Linked DNA regions of Arabidopsis thaliana. The protein of the gene in region 2 interacts with the protein of the main gene of each other region in a pairwise test. Each region holds a gene or a part of one and is shown on either strand. Other genes may lie near its edges.

Region 1 (6,622 bases), 700 kb from region 2:
CTCATAACACATTTGAAGTACTTTAGTTATCTTGATTGTGAGATTCAAGATAGAAGTGGGGAAAAATGGTCTATTCCCGAAAAACGTTTGTTTCCCTGCGAAGCTACTTACACAATCTTAGAATCCGTATAATTGATTCATTAACAAACTAAATAAACATAGCCAACATCAAACAAACTAAGCAAAAAAACAAAGGCTTTGATCGGCAAAGATTCAGATGAAATTTACCCTTTACCTGTAAACAGATACAAATAAATGGTTTTGGTTAGGTTTGTTTAGTTTGTGTATAGTTGCAGAATTCGTTCGAAATATATAGCTAATTTGTTCAGGATTTAAACCTTACACTTAAAATGGACGGATTATAAAAAAGGAATGGACCAGAAAGCCCAATATGAATGCTTCTCCATCGTCTATACTATAGAGGCTTGGTGAGTGATTTGAGTTGAGGTTCTTGAAGCCTATAACGGCTTTATATGTTTTAGGACCTTACTGGTGTTTTTTCTTGGGCATTATTAGCCCAGAGCATTCATTTCACTGTGCGTTTTGGAAAATAGAAATGTTTTGAATCGTTAACAAGTTTTTGGACCTTACTGGTGTTTTTCCTTAGGCATTGGTTGAGAATTTCGTAAAGGTTTTTTGAGAATTCATTTTTTTTTTTATATAGACGCACACATAATCTTAGCTGTTGTTTAAAGTGCAGCCCACGGTTTGTAATCGTGGGCATGTGAATATTTTTATCATCTTGCTCGACAATATTCCTCTGCCGCAACAACCATTTGCTTTTTTTTATATGAAAATATTCAAACATGAACACTTTCTATCTTTCGAAACATATATTTGATCCGTTGCAGAACTTAGTGAGCAAAGCATTGAAATTCTTTGCCTTTTGATATAGTCATCATTTTAACTTAAGCATCTGGAAATCATTTGACTAAAAAAAAAGCCTTCAACAATGTCTCTTTAATGTTATCAAATGTTTGAGTCATTGTTATACAAAATTTCACGTGAATGATTGAGATTGGAATAATCAAGCTATATTGATTGATACTATATAATAAAGTGGATAAATGCAAGAAAATGAATGTATGGCGCAACTAGTTGGGTTCTGCTGAGACATAAAAAGGTGAGAGTTCCAAGGCAATTGGGTTGAGATCTCAGAAACCACAACACAAAAAGCTTTGGTTCTTTTGCTGTCTTTGCTTCTTTCCTCGCCACCTCATCTCTCCCATGCAATATTCCTATTTTTCTCTTCGTTTAATAATTGATAGTTTTGTAGTTGGCAAACAACAAAAGTAAATCCCTTGCAGACGAATCTTTAATTCTATATTAGTAGTATCAATGAAAAGTTTCTAAGTAAACTTGTTATTATGACGATAGTTCTAAGAGTTATGTTTTATAGATTAAAAGGAGTCATGTATATGCTACCATTCATAAGAACAATAGATAATTCAACAAATTCTTATTTTATTTATTTTTACTTTTAGTAAAAGAATATTAAGAAAATTTGTCTCTTAATTTCAATGGTATAAGATCTAAGAAGTCAAGTTTTTATTTCGAAAAAAGTCTAAACGTTAATGGTCTTCCATTTGTTATATTTGTGGGTCAAACATCATAATCTATACGGTAGATTAGTCTTTCTAGGCGACCAAAAAAATAAACTCTCTTCTCTTCTCTCTGTTTTCAAAATTCCTTTTCTTATAAAAAATGTCAGTTATATTTTGTTTTTAATATTTCTTAAAGTCGAAGCATACATAAATGATGACAAAAAAAGAAAGAAGAAGCGTACATAAATATCTACACTATAACTCCTCTTTTTAATATATTTATTTATTTATCCATTGACATGTGAGTATTTTAAATTTCTACATAATTCTTTTTTAAGATTAATAAAAGGTGTAGTATCCAAAATCTAAATCTATCGGACGAAGTATTTGACTGAAGCCAAGTCGTCTTCCAAGAATGGTGTTAAGTGGACTAAATGAACACATATATCTATGTAATGAAAGCAGAAAAATAATTACTGTGTCTCTCTGCATCTGTATTTCTGTCCCTCCAGTGGCTGCAGCAGGCAATGGATCTGCAACACTCTCCGAGTGCGCAAATCAACTTATTTTTCTTCTCCAAAATTTAACAAGTACTACTCCAGAAATATGATTCTAGTTTTTACTTATGTCCAAAAATATGATACGTGTTGTACCAGATGTTTTTCCTCCGATCCCTTAATTATATCTATGTTTACAATTTTATTTTACGTATAAAGATAAAACATCAAAAAAATAGTATCATAAGGTGATTTCCCAACAGCTTAAATTTTTCTCTAAGATCATAATCATCAAGTATAGAAGCTTCGGTTAAGTTCAACACTAAAAGTTAGATTAAAACCAAATTAGGGGCGAATATGGTTAGACCATCTCCAATGGTCACCTCTATAATTTTCTCTATTTTAGAGGTGCCTCTATTTTAGAAGCATTGTGCTCCAATGGTCACCTCTAAAATAGAGTTTCCTCAAAAATAGAAGAAAAATTAGAGATGAATTGTAGAGATCTCTATTTATAGAGACAAAAAGTAAATATTTCTATTTCTTCCTCTATTATAGAGAAAACTCTATTTTAGAGGTGACCATTTGAACATAATGCCTTTAAAATAGAGTCACCTCTATAAATAGAGGAAAATATAAAGATCACTATTAAAAATGCATTTAGATCTTTTACTAGGGTTGTTGGTAATGGTAGATTAATTACCTTGATCCTTTTTAGTATACTTATCTGTTAATGCTTGTTAACCACTTAAATTGCAAGAGAGTTGAACAAAATTGGGTAATTCATGCCACGCTTTGTAATTATTCATTGATTAGTGTTTCATTCTCTACAATTTATGGCTAATCAGCCCCCGTTAGCCGTTATGTAATGATTTATTCTAGTTTCATTGCTTGCCAACTTTAAACGATGCTTTTAATTCTTGAACTCATAAATCATTTTCTTTGTTATCTTTGTCTACTGTTTTATTCACTTGATCTTCTTAATCTTTTAAATTGCCTATCTTTTGCTATGTTTTTGTTACAATTTAAATTGACAAGTACTTAGAAAAACAAACAAAAATGATATCTCTGTTCCATCTTAGATTATTCGTTTCTTATTTCTCTTAATATATATTTTTGAACACGCTTATTTCTCTTATATATGTTGCAATATTCCTAACCTTGGTGAATTTGATTCAGTTCTCTCTGGTTGAATCCTCTGAAATCTGAATGCCTTGGAGTGTTTTCAACATGCGAGTATTTCTCACAATTACCCATCCAATCAAAGAAAAGAACCAACTTCAAGATATTGTTATATATCGCTCATGATTTGCTATAGTTACCCAAAAGAAAGAAAGCAATTAAATGTTTTTATAATATCCTTGATTACATTCCAATGTGTAACAAGTAACTTATGACAACACAAATTTCTTCTTTGGTAGAAAACAAACGGGTAAGTAAAAAGAAAAGAAAAAAAGAAGTGAGTGAGAAGAGAGTGTAAGTATAAATAAAAGAAGCACCGCCCTAATCGACCATTCACAACGATGACATTCAAACACTCTTCAGTTTCCCTTCCTTCTTGATTCGTCCTCTCCACTATTTTTCTCAATTTCTTTAATCTCTCTCTTTCTCTCTCTACTTCCTCTTCCTCTTCTTCTTCTTCTTCTTCTTCATCTATGGACCCTTTAGCTTCCCAACATCAACACAACCATCTGGAAGATAATAACCAAACCCTAACCCATAATAATCCTCAATCCGATTCCACCACCGACTCATCAACTTCCTCCGCTCAACGCAAACGCAAAGGCAAAGGTGGTCCGGACAACTCCAAGTTCCGTTACCGTGGCGTTCGACAAAGAAGCTGGGGCAAATGGGTCGCCGAGATCCGAGAGCCACGTAAGCGCACTCGCAAGTGGCTTGGTACTTTCGCAACCGCCGAAGACGCCGCACGTGCCTACGACCGGGCTGCCGTTTACCTATACGGGTCACGTGCTCAGCTCAACTTAACCCCTTCGTCTCCTTCCTCCGTCTCTTCCTCTTCCTCCTCCGTCTCCGCCGCTTCTTCTCCTTCCACCTCCTCTTCCTCCACTCAAACCCTAAGACCTCTCCTCCCTCGCCCCGCCGCCGCCACCGTAGGAGGAGGAGCCAACTTTGGTCCGTACGGTATCCCTTTTAACAACAACATCTTCCTTAATGGTGGGACCTCTATGTTATGCCCTAGTTATGGTTTTTTCCCTCAACAACAACAACAACAAAATCAGATGGTCCAGATGGGACAATTCCAACACCAACAGTATCAGAATCTTCATTCTAATACTAACAATAACAAGATTTCTGACATCGAGCTCACTGATGTTCCGGTAACTAATTCGACTTCGTTTCATCATGAGGTGGCGTTAGGGCAGGAACAAGGAGGAAGTGGGTGTAATAATAATAGTTCGATGGAGGATTTGAACTCTCTAGCTGGTTCGGTGGGTTCGAGTCTATCAATAACTCATCCACCGCCGTTGGTTGATCCGGTATGTTCTATGGGTCTGGATCCGGGTTATATGGTTGGAGATGGATCTTCGACCATTTGGCCTTTTGGAGGAGAAGAAGAATATAGTCATAATTGGGGGAGTATTTGGGATTTTATTGATCCCATCTTGGGGGAATTCTATTAATTTGTTTTTGTGGAAGATCATATTATATACGATGAGCATCCCTAAGGTCGGTCAAGAGCATTGGAGATTCATTGTTGAGAGGAATCAAAGAGATTGCATTCTATGAGGAGCTCTGCATGCAAAATTTTGGAGGATTTTTTTACTACCTATAGAGATAAATAAGAGGGTATTTTTATTATTTTTTTGAAGATTTTTATTTTCAAGGAATTCGTAAAAGAGATTACGGTTCCAATAAAGTATGTATATGTGGAAGAGAATCGGAGGAGATGGTGGAAAGTTGTATGGGAATTTTATTGGTTCAACACTTCCTTCACAGTGTGCCTACCTTAATATATAATTATTGATAGGATATGATAATTTCTGTTTGGTTGTTCGAGTTTCAGAGGTTATATATAGTTATATTTTGTTTATCTCTGAGAATATTTACACATATCTCTATTAAGTTTTAGTAATATAGGAATCATCAATGTAGAAACTATGGAGAGAAACACGTTTTCAAAAAGTGTTCATCACTGGATGCATAATTGTTGTCGTTGAGAAGATTATTTACATTATTCGAGCTGGGTATTCTCACACCAACACTTCATATTCAAGTTTACAATTTTTTGTATCGATCATCCTTCAAAGTGTTTGGACATGATTTTGTCCGAATCCTAGCTTTCTTTGACTAAAAAGAGTTCTCCGTTTCTGTATTTCCCTTGTCCTGTGATTTCTTGTTTACTATGGTGTTTATTGGAAGTTGACAAGAAAAAATCAATTTTATTTTTTGTTTATGATTATATTTCGAATCTTTTAACAGTATTATACAAAATTTAAATTAAAAATAATCCCATATCTGACTGGGTTATACATGAATATTTCAATATTAATAATTAATTTAATTTATAATAATTATATATACAAAACACAACAAAATAGATTATTATATTTTCATTTGTTATATGAAATCACAACACTTTTCTATATCTTGGTTACGTAATAATTTAAGTGCACAAATATGGGTATGGTGATTCATATACTAGATAGAGATTGACATAAACTTTTCTAGAACCGATTATTTTGGTAATCAAATCATACAATGTTGTTTATGAAAGATCACCAGACAATGTGGAATAAAGCTTAGTTTTATTGTTTTCCTCTATATCTTGGTATTATTGAAATCTGGCAAAGTAGTACCAAACCGAATCCAAAAAAAACAAAATCGAGAAACAAAGAGAGTTACTACGTACACAAAAGAAAACATTCAACCACAACAACACAACGATGAGAGAAAAAAGATCGCTAAACAAAGAAAAAGAAAAAGATACAAGATGTCCATTAGAGTTTTAAGAATATATTATTCTCTTATATTTTTCCCTTAAAAGTATTGTTGTTTCAGTTTTTTGTATAAAACAATTATAAACAATTCTCAGTTTAGAGTCTCAATGTAATAACAAGAAAACATCTGAAGTAAAAAAAACAATTTATAAATAAAGAATTCAAGAGTCAACTTTTATGTATACATATGGTAATACATATATATATATATTTAATTCATACTATGTAAATATGAAAATGATACTTACACTGAAGAAAATGTATAGTCAACATTTAGTTTCCAAAATAATTATCTAACACTATGAATTAATATGATTCACAACAATGAAAATAATGTTAGTCAATATAATCATTAGCATTAAATAATGACAGAACAATTAATTAAATCATCAATTTGGTATATTGACTAGGACCTAAATTTGGACAGAAATTCAGTTATTTCAATTTTCTGTAATAGTACAATTAACCACATAAAGATTTTAACATGTTAATGGTTTGATTTGGATTTTAGTTTTTGTTTACTAGTATTGTTTTTAAAGAATAATCAATGTAAAACCAAATCCAATATAGTTTGGTAAATTTTTAATTAGCTTTGAATTCAGTTCTTAAACTTTTACTTTTTTAG
Region 2 (10,696 bases):
CCCAGAGTAATACATCTGACCTAACAAAACCTGCATAGTGATGTTCCCAGCTTTAGCTTCCTCAAGAGTGTCTTTAAACCACCGCTTCGCACAATCAGAAACCACCGATGAAAGCGGAACGAAACGTCGTGTAGTTTCGCTGGTGGTGGTGGTGGATGATGAATCTTTGTCGGAACTGTCCATGGAGGAAATGGGTCGGATCGGTTTTGAGGATTTGATGAATCCAGCTACTGCTGCGGAAGCTCCTCTTAGCCCTGTTTTGACGGGAATCGATTTTCCCATTTTTAATTTATAAACATAAAAATAAATAAAAGGAAAAAATCGGTTTTCTTCTCAATCTCTTGTTTGGTTTTGGTTTGGTCTCATTGTATAAAATAATATTAAAATATCTTATGGGCCTAGCTCTTAAGCCCACTAGAATTTTTTTATTTTTTTCCCTAGCCCACTAGAAATTAAGACTAGCTCCTTGCTATTTCATAACGGTTACTGAATAAAGAGCTCTGTCTATATAAAGGCCATCATAAATTCTTCACAATTGCATTCTTTCGCTCTCGTCTCCTTGTTTTTTTTAGTAGCATGAGTTCGTCTAAGGTTTTGAGTTCAGACACTATAACGGTAATCAAGAATGATATCTCAGGATTTTTCACTCTCATATAGTTTCTTTTAGCCCTAACGTCTCAGGTGTGAACCCGGTCGAGGCTGTTGCTTATGGTGGTGCTGTTCCGGGTGGTATTTTGCGCGGACGATGTGGTCTGATCCCGATAATCAAGTATTCAGACAGGATACAGGTGGTGCCAGCCGAGAATAGAGATCAAGTATTAAGTAGGCTTCCAACTGATTTACATATGAGGATTGAGGATTGCCATACTTCCAATCCTCCTTCTCGATCCAACTACTCTATTTGGGTTCAAATTGAAACTCAGTTATGCCTGCAAATGATTTTTGTGAAGATCATCCTATTGGTACTAAGCAAGCAAACCATCATATCATTTCAGTCCTCTAGAAACCAAATATTACCTTTGAAGTGTGTGCAGTGCACTAACTAGCTGATTCTCATAGATATTCGTTATCCAAATGACCAAATATACAGTCAAAGGACACTGCAAATGATTGAGAACACACAATACATATCTATGTATGTATTCAAATACACATACATAGCCTACTAAAAGAATGTTCTATGAGCTAAAAAAAAGAACGAAACATTCCTACACACAAATTTCCGTAAAACTACTGCAAATTTCGGAATCTACTTACATTACAACATACACACACCTATAAAACAGTACACAATATACATACATACATATATAAATAACCAATGACTGTATGTATTTAATGTTATATGTCTGAAATAGAGATTGTATAACCTACCTGACTCCAAGTGCTTGCGCACTCATCATGATACAAGAACGAACACCACGGAAAAGCCAACGATCATCGATTTCAAGAATCACTCCAACTATCTGAATCTTCATCCTCGTCGCTTCCAGCCATTGCCTGCACCAGTGTTCAACCGGTTTTAGATGTGTGTGCGATAGAGAAAAAGTGATATTTTATTTGGTCTATGATCAGGCTTATAATTCATTGTTTCCACTTAAGAGACTGCTTCGGATCCAATCTAAGACATAATGTGAGACTAAACTCCTCAGATTTTCATGTCAAATTGAAATGCTTTGACATGAAGCCTCTACGATTAGCAAGGACCACAGAAAAAGGTGAAAAAACTTGAAAACATTTACTATCTTTGAAGGAGATGGAAAGAGAGTAACGAACCATGCGTATTGTATTTGCTTTCTCTAAGATTGCAGCTACCCTTAAGTCTGTTCTAGGACCAGTCTGGATGCTGGGTCGTGTTGTTACTGCCGGCTTTAGATTGACGGACTGCATAAACAAAACACAACTCATAAAATTCCAAATACAAAATTCTGTTCACAGGACCATCTGGGATTTTACATGATCAACATGTGCTACCTTGTTTCGTATTTGTGCAAGCAACGAATCTTTGTCATCTTGCTTTGATTTGATTGGTGGATGGACCATCTCAGAGACTTTCTTCATCTGGCAAATCATCAGAACAAGTGATTAGAGACATAATCTTAGCAAAGGCATGGTATTGCAGACAAGATGAAATTTTGTACCTTGCGTCTGTCATGAGCTGCAACAGCATCGACAAGCGGACTTCTTGGCCTAGGAAGCCTAACCGTAGGGACCACTTCTGTCTTATATGTGTCCAAGGTAGGTGCCACAGAGAAACAGCTAACAGGCCACATAGCATCTCCCACTGAAACAGGATTTATCTTCTGAACTGACGTGTTTGATGATTCTGCAGTTTCTGCATTTGAAGCATCAGGAACCGAATGACCCTTATCTTCTACCTTTGTTGATTGAGTTGGCGTCAGGGATTTGGTTTCAGGACAATGGTGATCATCGCTTGAACTTTGAGATTCATGCACATCAGCATCGTCCTTGAAATCTTCGTGTTTAACCTGAGGCAGCTGCAATGACGACGCTTGAGAGTAAACGAGCTCGTGGTTCTGAGCTGCATGGTCAGCCAAAAGATTGTTCTCCTCAGAACCAAAATCCTCTATGCACTCCTGATAAGGTATTGTAGGGAGCTCAGAACTGTCGTATTGACTATTCAAATCAGTGCTCATGGTTGGGAACTGAATGGATGATTGCAATGGCTTTTCTGATGCATTGTGAACAAACCCTCCAGGAAGTCGTTCTGATTCGTCACTTCCTAAAGATACAGATAGCTCTGATGGTGGAGACCCAATTTGAACATTCAAGCTAGAACCAATGGGTGGTGCCGCTGATAAAGCAGAACTACTGGTTTCGACTGATTCCCCCATGAAGGTAGGAAAAGAATGTGGAACCTTTCCAATAAGCCATTGCATAGGAGGAAGGGGTGGCATGTCCTCTGGATTGGGCGGAATAGTCTCAGGGATAAAACCAAAGCTAGGAAAAGTAGGATCCAGATTCAACTCTTGCTTAGGTCTGTTCAATTCTATACCTGCAGATTGTGGTGCAAATTCTAAGCCTGCTGATTGTGGTTCAAACTCTAAGCCCCTGAAAACATTTGACTGCAGCAATTCCTCATCTGCAACTTCATGGCTTGCATAAGATGTTTGCTCTCTAACTGCCTGGTCGATAGCCTCACTCTCTAAAAGGTTCAGATTATACACTTGTGTGGAATCTATGCAATTATCATCAAGAATGCTCTCACCAGGAGATTTGGTTTCTGTGTCCCTGTTCCTTTGATCCAGAGATGGCTTGGGACTTGTAGATTCAATACTTTCTACGTCCTTGTTGTCTGGTTCAGTACTCAGACCTTCTGAAGACACTTCCAGAGGGCTTTTATGCATTTTTATTTCCGACTCTGGATTATTGTCTTCCAGTAGTGTCCCGTCAGACTCTACAACTGTATCATGGAAAATCTCTCCAGCATCAGAAGACGATTGATAAGTATTGGTCGAAATCCAAGGCAGAGAACCCTTCCCACGAGTCGATGACAGACTAACGGCATGATTAACACCACCACTGGAAGTGTCATTGTCATTATCAGACACATCAAGCTCAACGTTCGGGACAATGTCTGTGGTTGCGTTGTCCAGCCCTGAAAGGTCATGAAAACCTTCATGAGAGATATGGTCATCGCATTTGCTACAAGTAGGTGAAGCATCTCCCGCCAATTTCTCTACTCCCGAGTTAAAATCAGAAGGCACGGACATTCCATTCTCTAGTGTGTCTTCATGGGACTCTGAAACAGACACATCAGCCGTGTTGCCAAAGGCACATGAATGCTCATCGGAGATCTCAGCAACTGAACTTTGAGAATCAATGTCAGCAACTGAACTTTGAGAACCAACGTCGGCAACAGAATTTTTAGAATCAACGTCAACAACAACATTAGTCACTGAAACACAATCGGTTTCATCATCCAGAGTATCTTTTAAGTGAATTCCATCAGCTGAACTTGGACCACAGACTTTAGAGGGCGTATCAGGGGAAACTTCCATCCCCACCCCAGCTGAGCAAGGTACCAGCTTTCCTGTTAGGCAACGACCATCACGTTCTTCAGGATCGCTGCCTGAGTTTGCTAAAACTTCAGAACAAGCAACTATAGAGTTTGTCTCAAAATCAGTATCAGCGATAGGTAACTGTTTACCAGTTTGACTATCAACAAACGCTTGAGGACTAGTGCCTGAGTTTACTAAATTTGAAGCAACCATACAGTTCTTCTCAATGGTACTATCACATCTGCTTCCTTCAGAAGTTGAACTAATTGATGAAGTTTCAGAAGGCAAGTCAGAGTTTTTAGCATCAAAAGATGCACAAGATTTTGAAGAATCGAATGGATCCACCTTTCTTCCATCATTGCCTCCCTTCATTAGATCAAGCCTAACAAGTTCTGGAGAAGTTTCAACGACTTCTGATGCTAAAGATTGAACTGTCAGTGAACATGATTGATCATTCTGAGAGACTGGCCTTGGACTTGAACATGTACCATTCGAACTTAATGATGTCTGGCCATCTACATTGCTGCTACTAACTGATTCCTGAACATTCAAGTCATGAGACACTTTGTTGGCTTCAGGAGTAACGTGAGACATAGAATCCACCAACTCACTCTTAAAACTAGAAGTAGAAGGTAAACATCCCGAAAGTTTCTCTCCATCAGATTGATCATCAATGGATATGCTTGCAGTGTCCGAGTAAGAATAACTAGTGCTCTTTTTCCCAAACGAGCTTCGCCCATTTTCCGAAACTGGTGTGTTTCCATTTGAATGAGAAAATGAAAACTGAGGTGGGTCCTCCATTCTCTCTTCAACCGCATCAGAATATATATGATGGTTCCCATCCTTCAAAGTATCTGATCTACTCTTAGGTCTACACTCATCGTCTGTTTCTGTTTCCGACTCCATGGTGGCTGGTGCGTCCACATAATTGTCAGCCTCACTGGTTAAATCTTCAGAATAACTCCTCTGTTGAAAAAATCCTGGCTTCCCGTTCAAAACCGTTTGTGAATCCTGTGTAATAGTTGTTCCACGGACCTCATTGTATGTAGATTCAGGCACTGTCTCTATATCTTTTTCAATAAAACCCCCATTCATGTTAACATTTGCCACATTTTCCTGCTCACTTGGGAATGAAACCTCTGCTCTGCTTCCTCCATGAGACTTATCCATAGCACCCACCATACTGATTTCAGGTATATCGGTTACTACATCTCTAGCACTATCCATATTCCATGTCAACAATCCGGGGTTTTGGGTAATTATTTCATAACTTATCTTACTATCTACACGTGTCTGCACAAATTTCTCCATGTAGCTTTCCCCTGATTTTGAAATAAGGGAACACCCATCTAGCTTTCTGGTTTTCAACTTCACAACGCGCGCTGGATCTGAATGATGAGCCTCTAAATGCTCCTCCAAAAACAATTCATGCAATCTGTGCCAGTTGAATAATTGAAACCAGCCATTTTTAGTCACAGTCAGATACCAATATAGGAACTACATATATATCATAACAGAAATGACAAACACACAAGACATAAAATAGATAATACTCACTTGGCATGTGATGATAATGCATTTTCAGGTGTCCCTCCATTCCTCCACTGAGATGCTCTCCTCTACAAGAGAATAGAAGGAAAACTATGAGAATCACAAAATGGAAGGTAAGATTACACATTCAAAACACCATGAGCATAAGAAAATCTACTATTCAGAAAATCTACCATGTAATGGAAACCAAAATATAACCAAGAAGGATCACACTGCAACCCATAAGCTACAACCTGAACTAAGAAGCTAGTACCTTTGCTTTCTGTGATTTTTTCTCTCTCTGAATATCATCCCATGATTCTTCATATGAAGACGTTTCAAGCCTAACAAACGATGGATCGGTGTAGCGTTTCAAACAAGCCCCAGCTCCGGAAATATCAAACCTAATCAAAACCATCAGAAGATGTTACATATATCCTTCTCTAACAAACGACTAAAGAAGAAGTCCTATCAAACAAGGCTAAATCATACTTGTCCAGAAGAAATAGCCTTGGAGGACCTCGACATTCCTCATAAGAATCCATCACACAACGAGGTAAGTCACCACTTGTAACCACACTCTGTTCCAATTGTAGATTCGGATGCCATTCCACACCTGAAATAGAGTCACAGAATCATGTTGAAATAATCCAACATCATAGTAGCTGACCAGATCATGAATGTTCATAGCAATCTAACCTTTGTTAGAGAAAAACGGCGAATGATCGGTTTGACACAGTAATGCCTTCTCTATAGAAGGAAACTCTGCTTCCAACTGTTGCACACGAGCCATTAAACCATGGCTTCTAGAAGCAGTAGCCATTACTTCTTCGTGCAAGTCATGAAACATCTCAGCAGCAAACCTTCATCACAAATTACATGAATTTAAAGACAATTCCATCAAAAAATCAAAACTTTTTCCACTTCCACAACCAAATCCAGATTCATCAAAATTGTCGCTTTACAACAACGGATTCCAAAACTTCGAATTCGATGCGCTTAGAGATCAATTAGAGAAATTTCGATTGGAGAGAAACTTACTCAGCGAGATCACCGAGTTGACGCAAAATGCCAACGAGACCAGCCATAGCGACTCCTTCAAGCAGAGCTTCAGGGTCATCTTTATCAGCAGCTTGATACAGATCCGGATCTGCTAATCCATACTCGTTACGAGATTGGTACCTCGTCAACGGCATTGTTTGAGCTTCTCTGTCTGATCAGCTCGCTGATACTTTTGTTCAAATTCTAAAGGTAAGAACTTTAGAAAGAAGAAGACTAGAAAAGCTTCTCTGTCTTCATTTAAGTAGTGACCGACCACCATTAGATATGTGACGACATCACTTAGCTGGAAACTAAAACGGACTTTCTGTGGATTCAAGACGGCGGATATAGGTAGGGGCAAAGAGAGAGAGAGAGAGTCTGAGAACCTCAACGCTAAAAGACTTTTTAAGAAAACATTTCTTTTTCTATTTTTCGATAGCCAGAAATACTTAAAAAATTGTTACTTTTAGTGAAAAATTCTTACAAAACCAAAACCTTGTTGCAATAAAACCTGCATTTAAGACCAAACCCCTCGGGAACCTGATAGTTTCAGGCTTGAGGTTTGTCCAATTGTGATCCCTATCGAAACCAAACACAATCTAATTAAAGTCATTTTTGAGAAACGGATGAGAGTTAATTGAAAGATTAAAAAGGGAGCGAAGAGTCTATTTGAGTGTCACTGTTACTTCTCTGCAGGAATATTAAAAGACGTTGAGTTTCGACTACAGCCTACAGGTATGATTCGACTTCTCTCTTCTCACCTTAAAGTTTCTGTCTTTATATTCTTCTTCGCTCGTTGTAAAGCAATTCTTATTTGAGCTCCAAGTTTGAGATTTTTTTGTTTTATCTTGAAATCGTTTTTGGTTGATGTTGTTGTGAGTTTCAGGTTTAGACATGTCTTATATTCCACCACATAAGAGGCATTCGAAGGATCCGACAAAGCCTACCCCTGTTCCAGATTCTCTTGTTACAAAATTCAAGAAGAACCTTGACTTTAAGAGTAGCACTAGCAGTGTTAAACGCAACAAGATTATCTATTCAGGAGATTCCATTTCCAAATGGTTTCTTGTTGGTTCAAATGGAATTGAGGACGATGTTCCTTCGTATGTTAAGTTTGTGCCCTTGTCCTCAGATTCTGTCGAGTGTAGAAAAGGAGAAAAGCCTTCAATACTGATGAACAACAATGTCCAAAATGGTAAGAAACTATTAGTAGACTTTGGCTATGTGTTTGACAAAATGAATATCATCTAGATGCTGAAATAAACAATACTATTAACTATTTTGTTTGTGCTATTATCGTTTTTGCCAAAAGAAGATGCATTGTATCTATGTTGAGTATGGTTTTTTATATGTTTATATTCAGTGAATATGAATATTGGAGAGAGGAAGGATGAGAGAACTCAGTGGCTATTAGTAGCTGAGAAGGTTATGGAGGATCTTGTGTTGGCATATGAGCGAGTTAAGACTGAAATGAAGGAGCATCATCATGTATCGAGACTGGTTGCTCGGTTTGGTAAAATTTTCTTCTATGGGTAAGCGATTCACCGTCTGATCTCACATTTTGCTGTTTTCAGGAATGGGTTTATATTTTTTCTAACATATACAACTTTAAACCAGGAGTCAAGCTGGTCCTGTGGCTGAATGTTCACTAAAAAACTTGAATAAGATGTTCTCTACTGATCTCCCAATGTCTTACTTACAACACATAAAATCTAATGTTGTACCAAGCCATGGATTCTCTATTGATAAGGAGAAGGAAACATACACTGTGAAGGTACTCGTTTCATTTTCTTAGATTTAGATCTATACTTCGAATGTCATTTGAATGTGCTAATTTGGGTTTGGCTTCTATTTTTAGGTATCGCATTATTCTCGTCCTAATGCAACCATCAACTGTAAATGTACCCGTAAGGAAGATGGACGGCTCAGTATGTACAAGGCAAGTCTCGAGTTTTATGTGTGTAGTGACTACAACCAATAGTAAAATCTCTTCTTTATTGTTCTCGGACTAGCAAGAAAAACAAACAAGAATTTGATAGATGTCACATTTTTACTTGGTCTTCCTTTAATATCTAACTTTGAATCTTGAGTTTTGCTTTTATATAGGTCGACCTTAATCCTGTAAGGCATTTGGTTGTTGATGTGTCATGCATTGATAAGAATCTCGACATGAGACTAACGCTCACCGCTAAGAGGGAAATAACGTATCTCAGTGTAAGTTCAAGTTTGGTATATATATTTTACAATATATGGATAAATAATATGCTCTTCTTAGACTTAGGTTGTGTGATCTTTCTTTGATCGGCAGGATAAAGAGATAGGTGACATTAAAGCGCTATTGGAATCAGCAACTGTTGATCCAAATGTAAAAGGCGGTTTAAGGTGGCCGTTTGGTAAAGCTTTATCTGAAGATGGATACAAAGAATTTGAAGTTTGTCACGTTAGAGCTACTATCTACAAAAATAAAACTCTAAGGCTTAGGGTAAGAGAGACTGATAGATTCAATGAGACGACTGGAACAGGGGAAACCAAGAGGGAGGTGAGTTTGACGCTTAAAGACATCGACACTAAAATACAGGTAAATTATTGTGCTCTTGTACTATTTTAGAAACTCTAATGGAAGTGCGAGGCTTATGGTGATAATACTTGTGGTCTGCAGGAGCAGAACACTGAGAGGGGTTGTGTTTTGGAGATGCTACGAGATGCTCTTGGAACTATATGGGACTTCTTGCATTGCGATGCCTATCTTACATGATGAAGAACCATATGATGTTGCTTGTTCTATCAAGTTTCTTTTTAATTTCTTTTACTTTCTACTGTGTTTTGGTACAATAATGTTGTTTTAAGGTTATCAAGGATTGTACTTGTGTGTGTCAAGAAAAACAGAAGTTAAGTTTTGTTACCAGTCCTTTCATTTATGTGAACATGGTGTATGAATGACTCATTGCATACTGAAATTTTCTTTTACCTAAAAGCTATAATCGGAATCCAAGCAGTACACAATACACTGAAAGATTCCCAATTATCACAGTCAAGTTTGATGGATGTGTCAACTTTGTATACATTAAGGTTAAAGGTAAGTTTCAGTGATAGCAGTGGAACAATTGGTGCAATTAACGTTGAACAAACAGAACCAAGCTACTTCGAAAGTCTTGCCAAGCAAACTAATCACTCTTCTATTAAGTTCTAACAATCATCAATAAGACCAAATACATCAATTTTACAACTATTTAGAGATGCTCCACATTGCTTAAACCAGGTGTGCTAAAAGTTCGACTGCTTGATCCATCAAACCTTTCTCACATAATCTGCTAATGACTTCCTCAATTCTCGAACTCTTAACGAACACGTTCATGTTAAATGCTTCTTCCAATAAACCATGAGCACAAACAACCTCGTCTACCTCAATATATGCACTAATCATAATATCAAATGTGTGGCTGTTCCGGTTAACTCCATTCGTCTCCATCTCTTTCCATAGAGTCTTAGCTCGACTCAGATCTCCAGCTTTTACCAATGCCTTGATCAATATATTGTATGTAACTACATTAGGCTCAGAACCTAGCTTGTTCATTGAAGACATCATCTTTAAGGCGCCTTCAATATCGTTCTGCTTGCATAACCCATTGATATACACATTATAGGTATAAACATCAGGAGCCAAACCTAACAAGAGCAACTCATCAAACAACTTGTCTGCTTTCGGGTAATCCTCATCCGCAATAACGCCTTGCAACACGATTGTATAACAAACAAGATCAGGCTCTACTCTGTCACATTTCATCTGATTCAGTACACTTACAACTTCTTTCCCCCTTCCTCCTTCCACCAAGAACCTCATCACAACTGTATAATCCCGCAAACCTGGCGAAAACCGAGTCTTTCGCAGATCTTCCAAATATCCAATTACATCGAAACATGACGAATCCTTGTGTTTACATACAGAACTCAGTAACCGAGAGTATAATCTTGGATCAACAATAACACTATCCTGACTCATGTATCTCACTAACTCAGTAGCACAATCTACCTCACCTATTCTACAAAGCGCATCGATCAATATCCCGAAAGTAGATTCCTCTAACCTAACACCCATTCTACAA
Region 3 (6,813 bases), 2.3 Mb from region 2:
TCCATCAAAACAACGAAAACGTAGAGAATCCCAAAAACGAAACAAAATTAATAACCAGGCTAAAAGAATCTTACTTTTCGACGGAACATCAACATGCGGATTCGCTGCAGCTTCAGAATCATCAATTGAATCCGATGACTTCGGCACATCTAATGGATTCTCTTCCTCAACAGTTTTATCAACCTCCGGAGTCACCTCCTTGGCTTCCAGTGCATCGGAGCCTGAGAGCTCACCGATATTAACAGATTCGTCATGGGAAGATTCCACGTGAGGATTCTGCGCCTTGAGCGCCGATCTCGTAAGCCTCCCACCTCTTCTCGCGGCGCCTCCCCTCTTCACAACCTTCGGTGGCATCGCTTTCCAATGTATCTTAACCAATCAAAACAAATTAACCAAATTCGATGAACAGAGATCAGAGCTAAGCGACACAATTATCGGGATCGAACAACCCTAGCTCAGCGGATCAACAATGGTATTGAAATCGAGATAGAGAAGAAAACCCTAATTAACGGAGAGATGATAGCCTGAGCTTGGTCTAAAAATAAAAGATAAATAAAATCAATATATTCTATTAAGAAAAAGACGTGGCGATCAAGCTTTTAATTCGGTAATTGTTAACAAACGAAAAACGGTAAGAAGGATTGGCCCAAATATCCTCATCCCCAATGGGCCTTTACTCGTATGGAGTTTCAAGTGTGTTGGTTGACTAATTGTATTACCGATGTTCAGTCCGGTTTTCATTCATTTTCGGTTATCTTTTTTTGGTTTCGTCTTGGTTTATAATTTATATTTGCATTATTCGGTTTAAGAATACAGTTTTCGATGGAATCGGTTTAATGGGCAAGAGAAACACAACACAACAACTCCGATGTAAAATACACTTAACTGAGTGAGTTTACAATAACACAAACTTGATTAGGTGGAACAGAGGAAGATGCTGAAACTGCAACATTAATTGAATAAATCGAGAGTTGAAGACGTAAACGCCGCAACACATTCATAATCTTGTAACACATTGTATTGATATAGACTAACGAAAGTATTAAACATCATCATCTTTAGTCACATGAATTCCTACTTCACTCCTATCCAAAACAATCATTTTACACCAAAGAAAGTAGTACTAGACATGTTTTAACCTGAAAGAGACAGACAATGACACATTCTATAACCGTTAGGGACAATCTCGACAAGTTGAGACGGTTCTGCAGCTCCATGAATTCCTACTTCACTCCTAAGCAAACCAATCATTCTACACCAAATCTCTTTGCTTTCACTAACATTAAGACTTGGTTTTTCCCATATAAACGCCAACTTTCCGTAGTATTCCCCGATTCCAACTGATCGAGCGTTGTCAAGATCAAAACCATAAACCACTCTCCACAGCATCAGTTTAGAGTCATACCACATTAACCCGAATCTAGAGAAGTAAACAAAGAGCACATTGTCAATCACGCACAATCCTACTCTAGACCATTGATCATTAGGCATCTCAGATCTCTGACAAGAACCATCTCTAGTGTCATAACAAGTCATGCCTTCACGAGATCTTAAAGCACAAACCTTCCTGTCAAATGAAACATTTGCTTTACAAATCCACCTGTGACTTTCTTTTTCATCGGGAATCGGCGCTGCTTCCCAAGTTTGCGTATTTAGATCAAAGCTTTCCGCTGCAATCTCGTCGTCCTGATAGCCTCCGATCACATAGACCTTACCGCCGACTAGTCCTACGCAATTGTACCCTCGCTTCACTAGCAAACAAGGTCCTTGACGCAACTCCCCAAATCGGGTGTCAAAGATCGAAAGTCTTGATGAAGGAGTACAAGATTCTGAAATGAAGAAGATCTTTGGACCAACGGCGTTCATGGAAAATCGATTAGGCTCGGAAGGATAAGGGAACTCAATGGATTCGAAGAGATTCTCGGTCGTACTGTTCTCGATTCTCCGGAGAGTGTACCAGTAGTCGTATACGGGGCGATAATTTTCGTCGATGAAGCCGATATAGAGATAATCTTTTCCGAGTAAAGATCGAGCCTTGTGAATTTCAGGCGAGCGAACAAGACTCCGCATGTTCTTGGAGACGGAGCAGAGGATTGGGTAATATCGTTTTGGGACGCGGGCTAAGATCATCGAAATGATTTCCAGTGGCAGTGACAAAAACAATGACGGCGATGCCGATGCCGATGCCGATGACGACGATGGTTGGTCGGTTTTTCGCGGTGGTTCGTTGGAGCTAGACATCGACTCTAGTTTAAAGGAGAAGACTAGAGAATTGAGATTTTATTGATTTATTCTATTTCGGTTTCGGTTATTAGCCAAAAAACAAAACCCGGTTTATTTATTCTTCGATTCTGTTTCAATCGGTTTATTTTGTTTCTTTTTGCGCTAAAACGGTTCTTTGTTGTTGTCTCTTGAACTCAAAGAAGACAAACATTGTTCTTTTACATAGACTGATAGACGAGAATTCGCTTATAATTCTGTTACAAGAATCTCTACTACAAGATCAAACTTTTATAACGAAGATAGCTAATCATACTAAAATCTGCAAGAGTCCTTCATAGAAGAAACACACTAAAAAAGATGTAAAACAAACCAAAGCCAGAGACTTGAGTACACTAGTCAAAGAACATGGCATAAACCGATCTTTCTCTTTCGCTTCTTAGTCTTTGAAGGAGGATGTAAAACTACTTTGATCGCTTCATCAAACACGGCTTTTACGTTCTGCAAATTTAGCATCATCATAAGTCTTTCTTTATCAGATTGAGGTCCAAAATATTTGGTCTAATTGTAAAATGTAACTCAAGCATTAATGGTTACTTTACCATTTGTGCTTTTGAGCTGCACTCTATGTATGCTAATGCTCCTATTTCCTTTCTTAGTTCTTGACCCTATAAAAGAAGCAATCTTTGAGTTATAAAAGAGTTTGATTCTTAACATGGTTCTTGATCATATACATTGAAGAAGAATCTTTAAAAAAACATACCTGTTCTGGGAAGATTGTGCAAGCACCTGGATAATTCTTTGGGAACTGCATGTTGTCTCTTAGATCTGCAATATCAAGAAATTCATCTTATATACTACATAACATCACTTACACATTGATGTTAGATTCCTAACATTCAAGACATAACAGAGTGGTTCATTATCTTCAACCTGATTTGGTTCCCACAAGAACAATAGGCACAGTCGGGGCATAATGTCTCAGCTCGGGTACCCACTGCGAAAGAAAACCGATCCATATGCACATGAGATCAGTGTTGTAAAGTTAAATTACAGTGAAATTAAAAGTAAAAGGAAAGATAATCTCAAGTCTCAACCTTTTTAGCAATGTTCTCAAAGCTAGGCCTGCTAATAAGTGAGAAGGCAAGAATGAAAACATCTGCTCCTCTGTAACTCAATGGTCTAACCCTATTGTAGTCTTCTTGACCTGTAATATAATGTGAATCACCCAAAAGATATATAACACAAGAATCATAATTGGTCTCATTTAAGTTTTGAAGAAACATGAGCAAAATCTGATAGTGAATTCAAGAACCAAAACAATGTTGCATCAAAGATTCAAATTTTTCAACTGACTTCTTTTAAAAGGACCAAAAGATTAGACCTTGACATATTGTTGTAGATATAAAGCTAAAGACAAGAACAACTTTGACATTAGGTAAAAGCATTTACCAGCAGTATCCCAGAGACCCAGATTGACAGTTTTACCATCGACTAAAACATTAGCATTGAAATTGTCGAACACTGTTGGAACATAATCCTGTAATAACAAGATCTCAACAGTCACCAAAAGCTATCAAGAAAAGCAATCCAAAAGAGAGAGAGGGAGAGATGGATTTATATACAGTGGGGAACGTGTTGCTGGTGTAGGAAATAAGAAGACAAGTTTTGCCCACAGCTCCATCGCCAACAGTGACACACTTTATAAACGTTGTAGCTGTTGCTGATGATGTTGATGTTGCAGCCATTGAAGCTGACATTGATTGAGAAAATTCTCTGATTTTACTTACCCTGTTCTCTCTCTTTCTGTGGTTTTATTCTGGTTCAAGTGAAGAATGAGAATGAGACTTGAGTGGTAAAAAAGGAGTCAACTTTAATTTGAGCTGTCAGAGAGCCAAAACGCCTTAAAAATAATTTTTTATTCGGTGGGTTTGATTTCTTTCCTATTTTTTGAATTTAGATAGATTTTGCCATATTTTACTTCTTTCCAAAAAAACTCTAATTGGTAACACATAGCTGTACATAACTTTTATCTGTTAACTTTTTTTGAAATAGTATAAAATTACTAAAAAACAGTTATATTAAAAAAAATGTATAAAAAAGCTGAGAGAAAAATCTTTTAGTAACGCTTTTGATAAAAAAAATTATAATTGGTAGAAATGAAAGTTGTACAAATTATAGTGCTTTGTTTTTTTCACCAATCAATGCAAATGCAAAGGTCCAAATGTTTCAGCAAAATGAAAATAAGTGGTGGTTATATCAAATCAAATTTTGTAAATTCAGTTACATTTACATGACTAATTTTACAAGATGTGTAATTTTAATTATCTCTAGATCATTTGTTTTTTTTTTCGATTTAAGTTTGGACAATGGATCGACCACCAAACACATCATCATTAACAAAGATGGAAAGGCAAGTCCATTATTACTACCGTGTTGATACAAAAAAAAATGAATTTTATGATTTCTTTCTTCCTAAGATATAATTTGGAATCATAGTTTAAGTACAAAAAAATGTTTCCTTCTACGTGAATCTTTGTATTACAACTGTCAGTGTCATAAGGCCCATCCGAAAAGCCCATTTCTAAATACTAGAATTTTAAAAAATTAAACAATGATTAAAAAAAAAAAAAAAAACAAAGAGAAGAAAACAAAACAGTAGAGAATGAGAAAAAACCACAGGGAAAAGCAGAGCACTCTTTATCTCTTCTTCTCTCTTTCTTCTACTCTGTGATCAAACTATCGAAGAAAAAACAAACCCTAGATTTATCCGCCCCTCTTCTTCCTCTGATGATAAGAAAGTCGAAGACTTTGAGAATCTAAAGCTGAAAAATTTTGTTTTTTTTCATTGAGGGAATCGAATCGAGTTATGTACAAGGATCGGAGTGGAGGAGGAATAATGGGTGGTGGTGGATCATCGAGATCGGAGATCCTTGGTGGAGCTATTGATCGGAAACGAATCAATGATGCTTTAGACAAACATCTTAAGAAATCTTCACCTTCTACATCTAGGGTTTTCACTTCTAAGGACAAAGATTCTGTCCCTTCTACTTCAACTGCTAAATCTCAGCTTCATTCTCGTTCCCCCGATGGTTAATTGCTTATATCTCACTCAATTTCAATTTCATGTGGTTTTAGTACTTTCTGATTTGGGTATTAATAAATTTTGATTCTTTGTGGATGCAGTTGAATCTGACACGGATAGTGAAGGATCAGATGTGAGTGGTTCAGAAGGTGATGATACCTCTTGGATCTCATGGTTTTGTAATTTGAGAGGGAATGAGTTTTTCTGTGAAGTAGATGAAGATTATATACAAGATGATTTCAATCTCTGTGGTTTGAGTGGTCAAGTTCCTTACTATGATTATGCACTTGATCTCATTTTAGATGTTGAATCATCAAATGGTAAGTGAAGGGTCCATTTGATGAATTTAGGCTTTACTTTGTCTGAGAATTGTTGTATAATTTGGAGGAATGTTTATTGGATTAGGTGATATGTTTACTGAAGAACAGCATGAGATGGTGGAATCAGCTGCTGAGATGTTATATGGTCTTATTCATGTTCGTTATATTCTCACTACTAAAGGAATGGCTGCTATGGTAAGCAAGATACTTCTTCTACATCTTTGTTTCTGATTGATCTTTTGAATGATATCTTTCTCTTTTGTAGATGGAGAAGTATAAGAATTATGATTTCGGGAGATGCCCCAGAGTTTTCTGTTGCGGACAGTCTTGTCTTCCGGTTGGCCAATCTGATATCCCGAGGTCGAGCACTGTGAAGATATACTGCCCAAAATGCGAGGATATTTACTACCCGCGATCTAAATACCAAGGCAGTATCCTTTGCTCCTCTGTTCAAAAAAGCTTTATCTTGTCATAATATGATGCATCTGCTATTGTTTGGTTAAACATTGCGATTAGCTAGTTTGTTTGCATTAAATCTTTTAGAAGATAAAGAGTGTTGTCCACTTGTCTTAGTGTTCTTTCCTTAATGCTTATTGCAGACATTGATGGAGCTTACTTTGGAACTACTTTCCCTCATTTGTTTCTCATGGCCTATGGGAACATGAAACCGCAGAAGCCGGCTCAAAACTACGTTCCTAAGATCTTTGGCTTTAAGGTACACAACAAACAATGATACTCTCTCCTCTCAACAGTCTTGTGGTTGAATACAATCTCGGTGGCTAAACCACCATTCTTCTGATGGTCACGGGTTTGAAATGGATGATACTAAACTGCGTTTGGAGGATGAGAAGAGCTAATGAAGAAAGGTCGACACTTAAAAGTTTTTCACTATGTAATCTCAAAAGTTCTAAGTAGAATCTTCAACATAGAACCGTTCTTTGATGGGTCTTGGGAAATTCTTTACCTGTGAGTAATCAATTAAATCATTTACCAGATGGATGGATTTTGCTTTGCTTAACTGTTGTCTATAATTGCTGAAAATTTAGGGTGTATCCTACTTATCTTAAGTTTCTTGTGTTGTACGGAACTAATCTTCATTTTTCAATCACTATTAACCAAAACAAATCTGAAAACAAAAGATAGATGGAACAAGAACCTAATGAAAACCAGATTTTGACATTCTGTAAT
Region 4 (7,903 bases), on a different chromosome or scaffold from region 2:
TATTATCAGGAAATGTATCTGAAGTCATGAAATTTTAACCAATTACGTACAAAGTGTTTAAATTTTTAAAAATATATACTACGATTCATATACTCCTACTTTTAGATGAATTTTTACATCTACTTTTAGATGAATTTTTCTACTTTTAGATGAATTTTTCAACTATTGTACAACCATTTACTTGAATTCCTACTCTTAAATTATTATCAGGAAATTTATCTACTTTTAGATGAATTTTTCTAATTCTTAATTTCTCTTATTTTCATAAATGGTTGTACAAATTAATTAAGCTGGAGATTTGGATTGACTCGAGGGATCATATTTACGTTTTACTCATTAAATTTTTCTCTTAGTCAATAATAAGAGAAATCTTAAAAGAAATAAATTAAATGATATAGTAATGGATTGCCTTTAATTATGCTCTATCAATATTATTAGATGAAAAAGTAAATACTAACATTGTAACTTTAAATCCTTTTCTTTAAGTATGTCAATATGTGGAAAATAGACAGAAAAAGAACAATGTAACTGGTGCAAAAGTGGTGACTTGTCCCATTACAAATACGGCACACTTTCAGTCTCATAATCTAATTTGACTATGACGAGGAAAAATACAAATCTTCACAAACTACGAAAGACTTTGCATCAAAGTGATTTTTCTGCCGTTTCTAGATTTACTATTTGCTTTTTTCAGGTACTATTTCCTTCTTATTATTATTTTTTCCATTTTCACATAGTTTTGATATTATCATAAATATATTATCTGTTTTTTTTTAATAAATAAAAACACAAACCATATATTCCGTTACACTAAATTTCAAAAACAACCCTAAACATGAAAAATCCGACGTATAAAGAACATGAAACCCACATCAAAGAATCCGTTACAGACTTTTTTTTTCTCAAACTTAAGTTCATACATGTTTATTTATTTATTATTTAAATGTTCACATGTTTTTATATTTCACTCTAAATGATTGATATTGGTTAGTAGATTTTGTTTTCTAATGTTTTTTTCCTTCTCCAAGCATCTTTCTTGTTTGATAAAATTTTGTCATCTTTTTTCTCAAGTATGAACGCCTTGCATATAGATTTAATCTGAAACAAAACTGAACACATACAATGAATGATTAAACAAAAATGAATGTAAATATTTTAAGCTTAAATGGTTCATGTTGATATGCAATGAGCTGTTCGTAGAGTGGGCTTGTTACATAGGGAGACAAATATTTTGTTTTCTTTTTGACTTACGGTTTCTAATTTTGTCACTTTTACCATTGCTACACACTACCTTTTTTTTTTGTCCAATCCCCGCCGCTTTAATGATTATCAGATTGGACACATTTTATTTTCTTGATACTAATCCATCAAACCATCGCAGTCGTCTTTTAATAACTTTTATAACTAACTACAACAAAAATGTTAACGACGAGTTAGACCTATATAATTATTATGTATTGACTGGTGATTGTTCATATCAACGTGGTATCTTATGAAAGAACAATCTATGATGGATGCATCGTTAATGAAGCCTTTCTGCAATTATGTAACCTTGAATGTTTTTCTGCAATTACAGGGTTGATGATGATCGACTTCCTATGAAGCAATGTGTGGCGCCTCCCTATCTCATCCTATCGCATGATACATTATCTATTGTATTGTTCTAGCTCTCTAACTCTTCATTTTGTGAGTCTTCTTTGCTTTATCCTACAACTATCCAGTTAAAGTTGTGAGGTCTGGTTGCTTTCAAAATCGTATCTCGTTAACAGATAGACTTTTCTTGACAAGCTTGCTTTAAGGTTGGCGGTCTTTATAAGTTTATGATCCCTTCCATCATGGTTGTCTTTCTACACAATCTTTTATAAACAATTATTTGTTAAGTTGTTAACAAGAATGTACGACTATGTCTCAGTTTGTTGGAGAATTAGAACTCGTAATAGTATTTCTATATTTGCATTTGATTTTTTTTTTGTGTGTGGCTTTGGTTTTCTTTAATTGTAGAGTATATGATGAAGATGGTACTGAACCATCATACTCTTCAATGAAAGAGCCTCCTATCTAGCAAACAACGTTCTCTCAGTTCTTATTGTGGACTACCCCAATGTATAAAACTTTGTGTGTTATGGTATAGGTATGCTAGCTTTTGAAATCTTTTCTGAAACAGCTGAGTTTTTGCAAGGAAATGGTACCATTTTTTAACATTGAACGTAAGAGCCCTTGAGTTCTATTTTTCCCAGAAGATAGATTACTTAAAGGACAAGATCCAGCCTCAAAGTAAGACGGGTAATTAAGGTATTATAAGTGCATAAGTATATTTTGCTCAGGTTATACATTGGACATATATAAGAACTGGAGCATGAACGTCACATTTGTTTATGTCTTACTCATGTAGAAAGAGTGTAAGGAGTTTCAAGTGAGGATTAATACAATTTTCTTATCAATAAATTGAATCCACATTTTTTTAGCCAAAATTTTAAACTTGAAATTTTATTTTTCAAAGACGAAAATCTCATATTATTGATTCAAACTTGTATCCATAATTTTTTCATCAAAAAACATTACTCTTTAATTTTTTTTGCTAAAAACTAGAATTCGCAAATTGTCACCAAAAAGCGTGATTCCACAATTTATGGGGAAAAAATATCAATCCTCAATTTTCTTGCCAAATTACTACTATTTTACAAATTTCTCCCGAATAATGGTAACATGATTCGACAATACTCTCGCCAATAACGTGATGAAGCAAAGTCCACTATTTCAAGTAGAAAATATTCAAAAAAATATCAAAATACAAGTATATATAAATGTTTGTTATTTATTGAAATCTGTTCAGATATTATAGGAAAAAGCATATTCTTGATCTCTTAGTCTTCAATGGTTTTATCTTTTTCTTTGCCTTTGGTGGCCTCAAAGCTACCCTTATCGCTGTATCAAACACTGCCTTCACATTCTATTAAACATTCACAAACAAAAAACTTTTTCAGTTTATTTAATTTAACTTCATTAAGTATTTCAATTTACTATATATATATATATATATATATATATATATATTTGTGGATTCAAATTATTAGTATGAAAATTTTGGCAAAAAAACATTTGGAGCTGCACTCTAAGTACCTAAATACATGTTGAATTTACTCTAAGTACCTGTTGGGTTTTGGAGCTGCACTCTAAGTACCTAACAGCTCCAATCATTTTCCTTAATTCTTCTCCCTGTTACTCAAATCCATTCATAATTGTTTATGAATTTATTTTTGTATAGATTATTTTTTAAAGATTTGTGTATGGTACCTGAGCAGTTGTTATAGAAGCTGCTCCTGGATGATCCTTCAAGAACTGCTTGTCATCCCTCAAATCTATATTCATTTTTGTGTAACATTATTGTTTTGAATAAAAAGATATTATCAATAACACAAGAGATACCATAAATCAAATGGAGAAATGTATTAGCTTTTTCAATATAAGTTGTTGAATAAATGTTAAATTGGGCCACTATTCATGATGCCATTAACGATCCAAGTGGCTATATCTTCCTACATTTGAACATTTTTCTGCTATTAGATGAAAATCTAACTGTTTTTATACAACTATCGAATTTGAAAATGTTATTCTTTTTTCACATGTTTTTCATTAAAACTGTAGCATAACAGAACAAATAATATAATTTACTGGCCTGAATTAATTAGGTAATTTTTCAAAATACATTTACTATAGGTGTTATTTTCTAAATAACATATTATTTAGTGATATCTCAATATTATTCAGAGTGAAAGAGAGTGTATTACTATTTGACGAAAAAGTAGCTTCTTGTAGAATTTTTTTCTTTCTTTTGCAAATGAAAAACGTATGATCTGCGGATTATTACTCAAGACCATATCTAATTTGACACAAATGTTGATAAATTAAGTTTCTTTATGAACTCATAAGGGGAAAGTTTTCGTTACCTAATTTTGTTCCGACGAGCACAATGGGGATGCCAGGAGCATAATGTTTCAGCTCCGGAAGCCACTATTAATCACCAGATTAATTAATCAGTCAGTGTCAACAAATTTTTCTAGAAATACTTTATCATATAATCATAGTTTCTTATCTATAAAAAAAAACGGATGGAAAAACTTTTAAAGTTACCTTTTTGTGAATATTCTCGTAACTGGCCTTGCTTATAAGGGAAAATGCTAATAAGAAGACATCTGCTCCTCTGTAACTCAAAGGCCTAAGCCTATTATAATCTTCCTGACCTGTAATTCCACAATAATAACTTTTATCGTAACTAGCATTCATTAATAATCAGTTTTAGTATAATCAAGTAATCATACGGCGTACCGGCAGTATCCCACAGGCCAAGGTTCACGGTACTCCCGTCGACCACCACATTTGCGCTGAAGTTGTCGAAAACTGTTGGAACATAATCCTGTAAATTAGATAGTTAAATCATTTATATATCAAAAAACATACATTAAACCATGTTTCTTAAGTAAACAGATAGCAAAAATCCAGAAGCATGGGTTTGAATTCAGCTTTAGATATATTTCACGTTAATGATTCTAGGAAAAATATGCTTAAACGGATATGGAAATATAAACGCAAAAGATGAAACTAGGCTCTTATTAATTTGCCATGAACAACGTTTAAAATGAGCAAAGATCTCAGGAGCCTAACATAAATATCTTAAAACATCAATTTGAAAATATATCTGGATATATATCAAGTTTGCTAAGAAATTAAAAGTTACCGTAGGAAACGTATTGCTGGTATATGAAATGAGCATACAAGTCTTTCCCACTGCTCCATCTCCGACAGTCACACACTTAATGAATCTTGCTGTGCTCATTTTCTTTGCTTTTGTCTTCAATTTCTTTTATTTTTTTATGTTTATGAATTTTGTGAATGTGTTTGGGTTTTATGTTCAGAAGAGAAGAGAAGTGGTGGAAGGTTCTTAAGAAGCTTTTGTGATGATTATAGTTGTTTATTGGTAAGGAGGATGTCTCTGTTACAACTTTCATTGATCATTATTAGTTGCTTATTCGTAAGGGAAGGAAATTTGAAGCAAACATACTGAAACAAATACCAAATTAAAGAACTGGTTTTGTATATCATCATATATAATAAACCGAGTAAACCAAACAACTCCTCACTGAAACAATTGAATTATAATCTTCTTAAATAAATACAAATATTAAAATCATGTATTGAAAATAGTTAAATTTTATTATTACATGTACTCACTAATTTGTATTTCTTTCCAAATTTGATCTGACTTTTCTAACCAGGTCCAAAGCAAAATGATATTTAGCAGAATCGAAACAAATTTTACCAAAAAGCTGAAATATTGTTCACCTTTTGCCTTTCATATATTGGTTTGATATTTTTAGTTTAATTAAATTAATGAGTTAAAATGATTAGGAATTGAGTATTTCTTTAACTTCAAGTGCAAGATCATGCGGTCACCGAAAGTGATGTAGCCGTTTGGTGTTGGTTGTGAGTGGGTTTTTAAGTGTTGGAGAAGGAACTCTCATCTTACTTTCTCTAGTGTTTTTACATTTTCTTATAAAATCTTTTTCTTCAATATTTTATGTTTTGCCTTATTTGATTCATTTTAACAACATTCAATAATGACATGAATTGGCTTACATATTACGATTTTTTTAGTGTGTTCAAAAATACAATTTCCATCTGTCTTCTTCGTCACCTCACAGTTTTTTTGACGTCATCCAACACTTTTGTTTTACGTTATCCAACAATTTTCTTTTAAAGAGTATTATGCATGAAACTCTCATGCAGATATACGATGATTTATAATACTTTCTGAAATATGAATGATCAAACATTCATGGCGAATCCAAAAATACTTTTTTGGGACGTAAATAAAGTTTTTCTTCGAGGGGAATATATAAATAAAGGCAAATTTTTTAACTCAAATACAAATTACACTATTTATCAAAAACTGAATCAATGTATGTCCCCATATATAATGTTGATATTTACTTTCTTTAAAACCTTATTATAACATTTTTTATTATTATTATAATAACGTAGCTACTGTTACCTGAGTTTATAGAAGTACAGTTTGGTGCTTCAAGTAGTATCATACGTAAATCACTTCAAATATAAGTTACCAGTAAATTAGAGGTTATACTGCGTAGAGCAAAAGTTTAGGAGCACTAATGTAGTGAAAGTCTTTCTTTCCTAACAATTGAATTTGTGTGTCTCTTCCTCATTATGCATTTTTTATATAAAATTTTCCATTGATTTAAAATAGAGCATAATATTAATAATATTGTACTGTTCATACATTTTAAAATGGGATAAATGAAAAAATAGTCAATTTTTCAAACATATTTAGAAAACTAGTTATTTTACTATTCACAATTTGCAAAGTAGTCACTTTTCACTGTTTGATTTGTACATTTAAATTTGTACAACACTTTTAGTATACAGATGTAAGTGTACGCTGTGTATATCTATATACATATGTATACTAAAAGTATTGTACAAATCTAAATGTACAAATCAAACAGTGAAAAGTGACTTTTTTATAAATTGTGACTAGTAAAATGACTAATTTTCTAAATATGTTCTGAAAACTGACTAGTTTGCTAATTCAGGTCGATAATAGATAAAAACTTATCAAAATAAGCCCACTAAAAGCCTCAACTTGAACCTAGAAGTATCCAAAGAAGAAGAGCCCAATAAGCCTCAAGTATCTCATCTTGAGATGTAACTTGTAAGAGCAATCATCGACTTCTCCTTGATAGATCAGATTAACAAAAGGAAAATTAGAGTTGAACCATTCACTGAGCTAGCTGATTATAAGATCAGAGTGACGAGACTCTAGCTTGATCTCTCAACAAATCTTTTTTTATCCCTATTACTGGTTCCATTGTATAATCGAATAAAACAGGTTGACAAAAAAAATGCTATATAATAAAATAAACTAAGTAGTTTATCCGCATTATATGTAGAGTGAAATGATTATTATGTATAGTTTTAGTTATATGTATGTTAATGAAAGAAAAAGAAAAAAAGTCGAACGAACAAGGAATCTAACTATTCAAAGGTTTTATTTTGCGTCACAAGAAAAAATAAGATGTATCTTAACACCGTACGTATACTAGTTATGAGCTATCCATGTCACTATTAAATGTGTACCTAATACCTGTAAAAGATTGTTTGCCTGATTCCTTGATGAAATAATCAAATCACTTGATCCATTTTTAGGTATAAAGTCATGTAGTAGCGTTAATATATAGTTAGCTCGAAATAAATTATTTAAACAAAAAAAAAAAGATATATGTAGTCATAAATTTAATGAATACCCACAATATACAGCATCACAACATTTAAAGCATTACCTAAATAATTTGAGATGGAAGTTAATGTTTCCTGCAGATTAATTAGTGTTTGTTTCGTGAAAATCTCGGTTCAATAAAAGAGAATACTACGGATTTGAATGGTAACTTCGTAGAGTTTTAATAAGGAATGTACGGTTTTGACATTAACCAAATTACAAAAACGATATCAATTTTTTTATTATTAAAAACGTTATCCTCAATATTTTTTTACAGCTTTCATGTACCATTGTTTTATACAACTTTGTACTATTTGGTTAAAAATTACCAATAAAAGCTAAAACATTTGTACAACTTTATATCACCAATGGGAGCCTACATCTTCCAAAATTAAATTATACATTTGTACTATGTACTTTGTGTATCATATTTATTAAAAATGTGACTAGTTCATGTTGAGCTTCGATTATTGAATTCGTTTTTCCACCTTTGAAATATGTAAGTATAGAACATATTTTGTGTGTTTGCATATATAATTTTGGGTTCAGATGCATTAGTTTTGGATTTAAATTTTTCTGAAACAAATTAATTTGTACATTTCATGATTGTCG

Evidence for each region.
Region 1: the proteins of SCAR2 (region 2) and ABI4 interact in a two-hybrid assay, tested with the Arabidopsis thaliana proteins (one study listed by BioGRID).
Region 3: the proteins of SCAR2 (region 2) and ARAC9 interact in a two-hybrid assay, tested with the Arabidopsis thaliana proteins (one study listed by BioGRID).
Region 4: the proteins of SCAR2 (region 2) and RAC2 interact in a two-hybrid assay, tested with the Arabidopsis thaliana proteins (one study listed by BioGRID).

The regions. Positions count from the first base shown.
Region 1 is NC_003071.7:16,794,657-16,801,278, reverse strand, and holds ABI4 (Integrase-type DNA-binding superfamily protein), read left to right. Parts: upstream 1-3,693; coding exon 3,694-4,680; 3' UTR 4,681-5,032; downstream 5,033-6,622.
Region 2 is NC_003071.7:16,091,602-16,102,297, reverse strand, and holds SCAR2 (SCAR homolog 2), read right to left. Parts: upstream 7,064-10,696; 5' UTR 6,749-7,063; coding exon 6,594-6,748; intron 6,416-6,593; coding exon 6,252-6,415; intron 6,169-6,251; coding exon 6,045-6,168; intron 5,957-6,044; coding exon 5,827-5,956; intron 5,642-5,826; coding exon 5,580-5,641; intron 5,458-5,579; coding exon 2,142-5,457; intron 2,062-2,141; coding exon 1,975-2,061; intron 1,885-1,974; coding exon 1,777-1,884; intron 1,501-1,776; coding exon 1,447-1,500; 3' UTR 1,077-1,446; downstream 1-1,076. Other genes in the region: AT2G38450 (Sel1 repeat protein), read right to left, coding at 1-282; AT2G38430 (uncharacterized protein), read left to right, coding at 7,488-7,788, 7,957-8,125, 8,211-8,367, 8,452-8,532, 8,700-8,807, 8,902-9,171, 9,253-9,348; AT2G38420 (Pentatricopeptide repeat (PPR) superfamily protein), read right to left, coding at 9,844-10,696.
Region 3 is NC_003071.7:18,426,443-18,433,255, reverse strand, and holds ARAC9 (RAC-like 9), read right to left. Parts: upstream 4,136-6,813; 5' UTR 3,981-4,135; coding exon 3,846-3,980; intron 3,761-3,845; coding exon 3,673-3,760; intron 3,428-3,672; coding exon 3,318-3,427; intron 3,218-3,317; coding exon 3,154-3,217; intron 3,049-3,153; coding exon 2,984-3,048; intron 2,889-2,983; coding exon 2,823-2,888; intron 2,722-2,822; coding exon 2,620-2,721; 3' UTR 2,374-2,619; downstream 1-2,373. Other genes in the region: AT2G44710 (RNA-binding (RRM/RBD/RNP motifs) family protein), read right to left, coding at 75-354; AT2G44700 (Galactose oxidase/kelch repeat superfamily protein), read right to left, coding at 1,135-2,241; CKB4 (casein kinase II beta subunit 4), read left to right, coding at 5,090-5,312, 5,407-5,625, 5,711-5,820, 5,891-6,056, 6,225-6,358. UniProt on the Arabidopsis thaliana protein: Inactive GDP-bound Rho GTPases reside in the cytosol, are found in a complex with Rho GDP-dissociation inhibitors (Rho GDIs), and are released from the GDI protein in order to translocate to membranes upon activation.
Region 4 is NC_003076.8:18,640,692-18,648,594, reverse strand, and holds RAC2 (RAC-like 2), read right to left. Parts: upstream 5,056-7,903; 5' UTR 4,835-5,055; coding exon 4,736-4,834; intron 4,415-4,735; coding exon 4,327-4,414; intron 4,242-4,326; coding exon 4,132-4,241; intron 4,012-4,131; coding exon 3,948-4,011; intron 3,360-3,947; coding exon 3,295-3,359; intron 3,217-3,294; coding exon 3,151-3,216; intron 2,951-3,150; coding exon 2,837-2,950; 3' UTR 2,619-2,836; downstream 1-2,618. UniProt on the Arabidopsis thaliana protein: Inactive GDP-bound Rho GTPases reside in the cytosol, are found in a complex with Rho GDP-dissociation inhibitors (Rho GDIs), and are released from the GDI protein in order to translocate to membranes upon activation.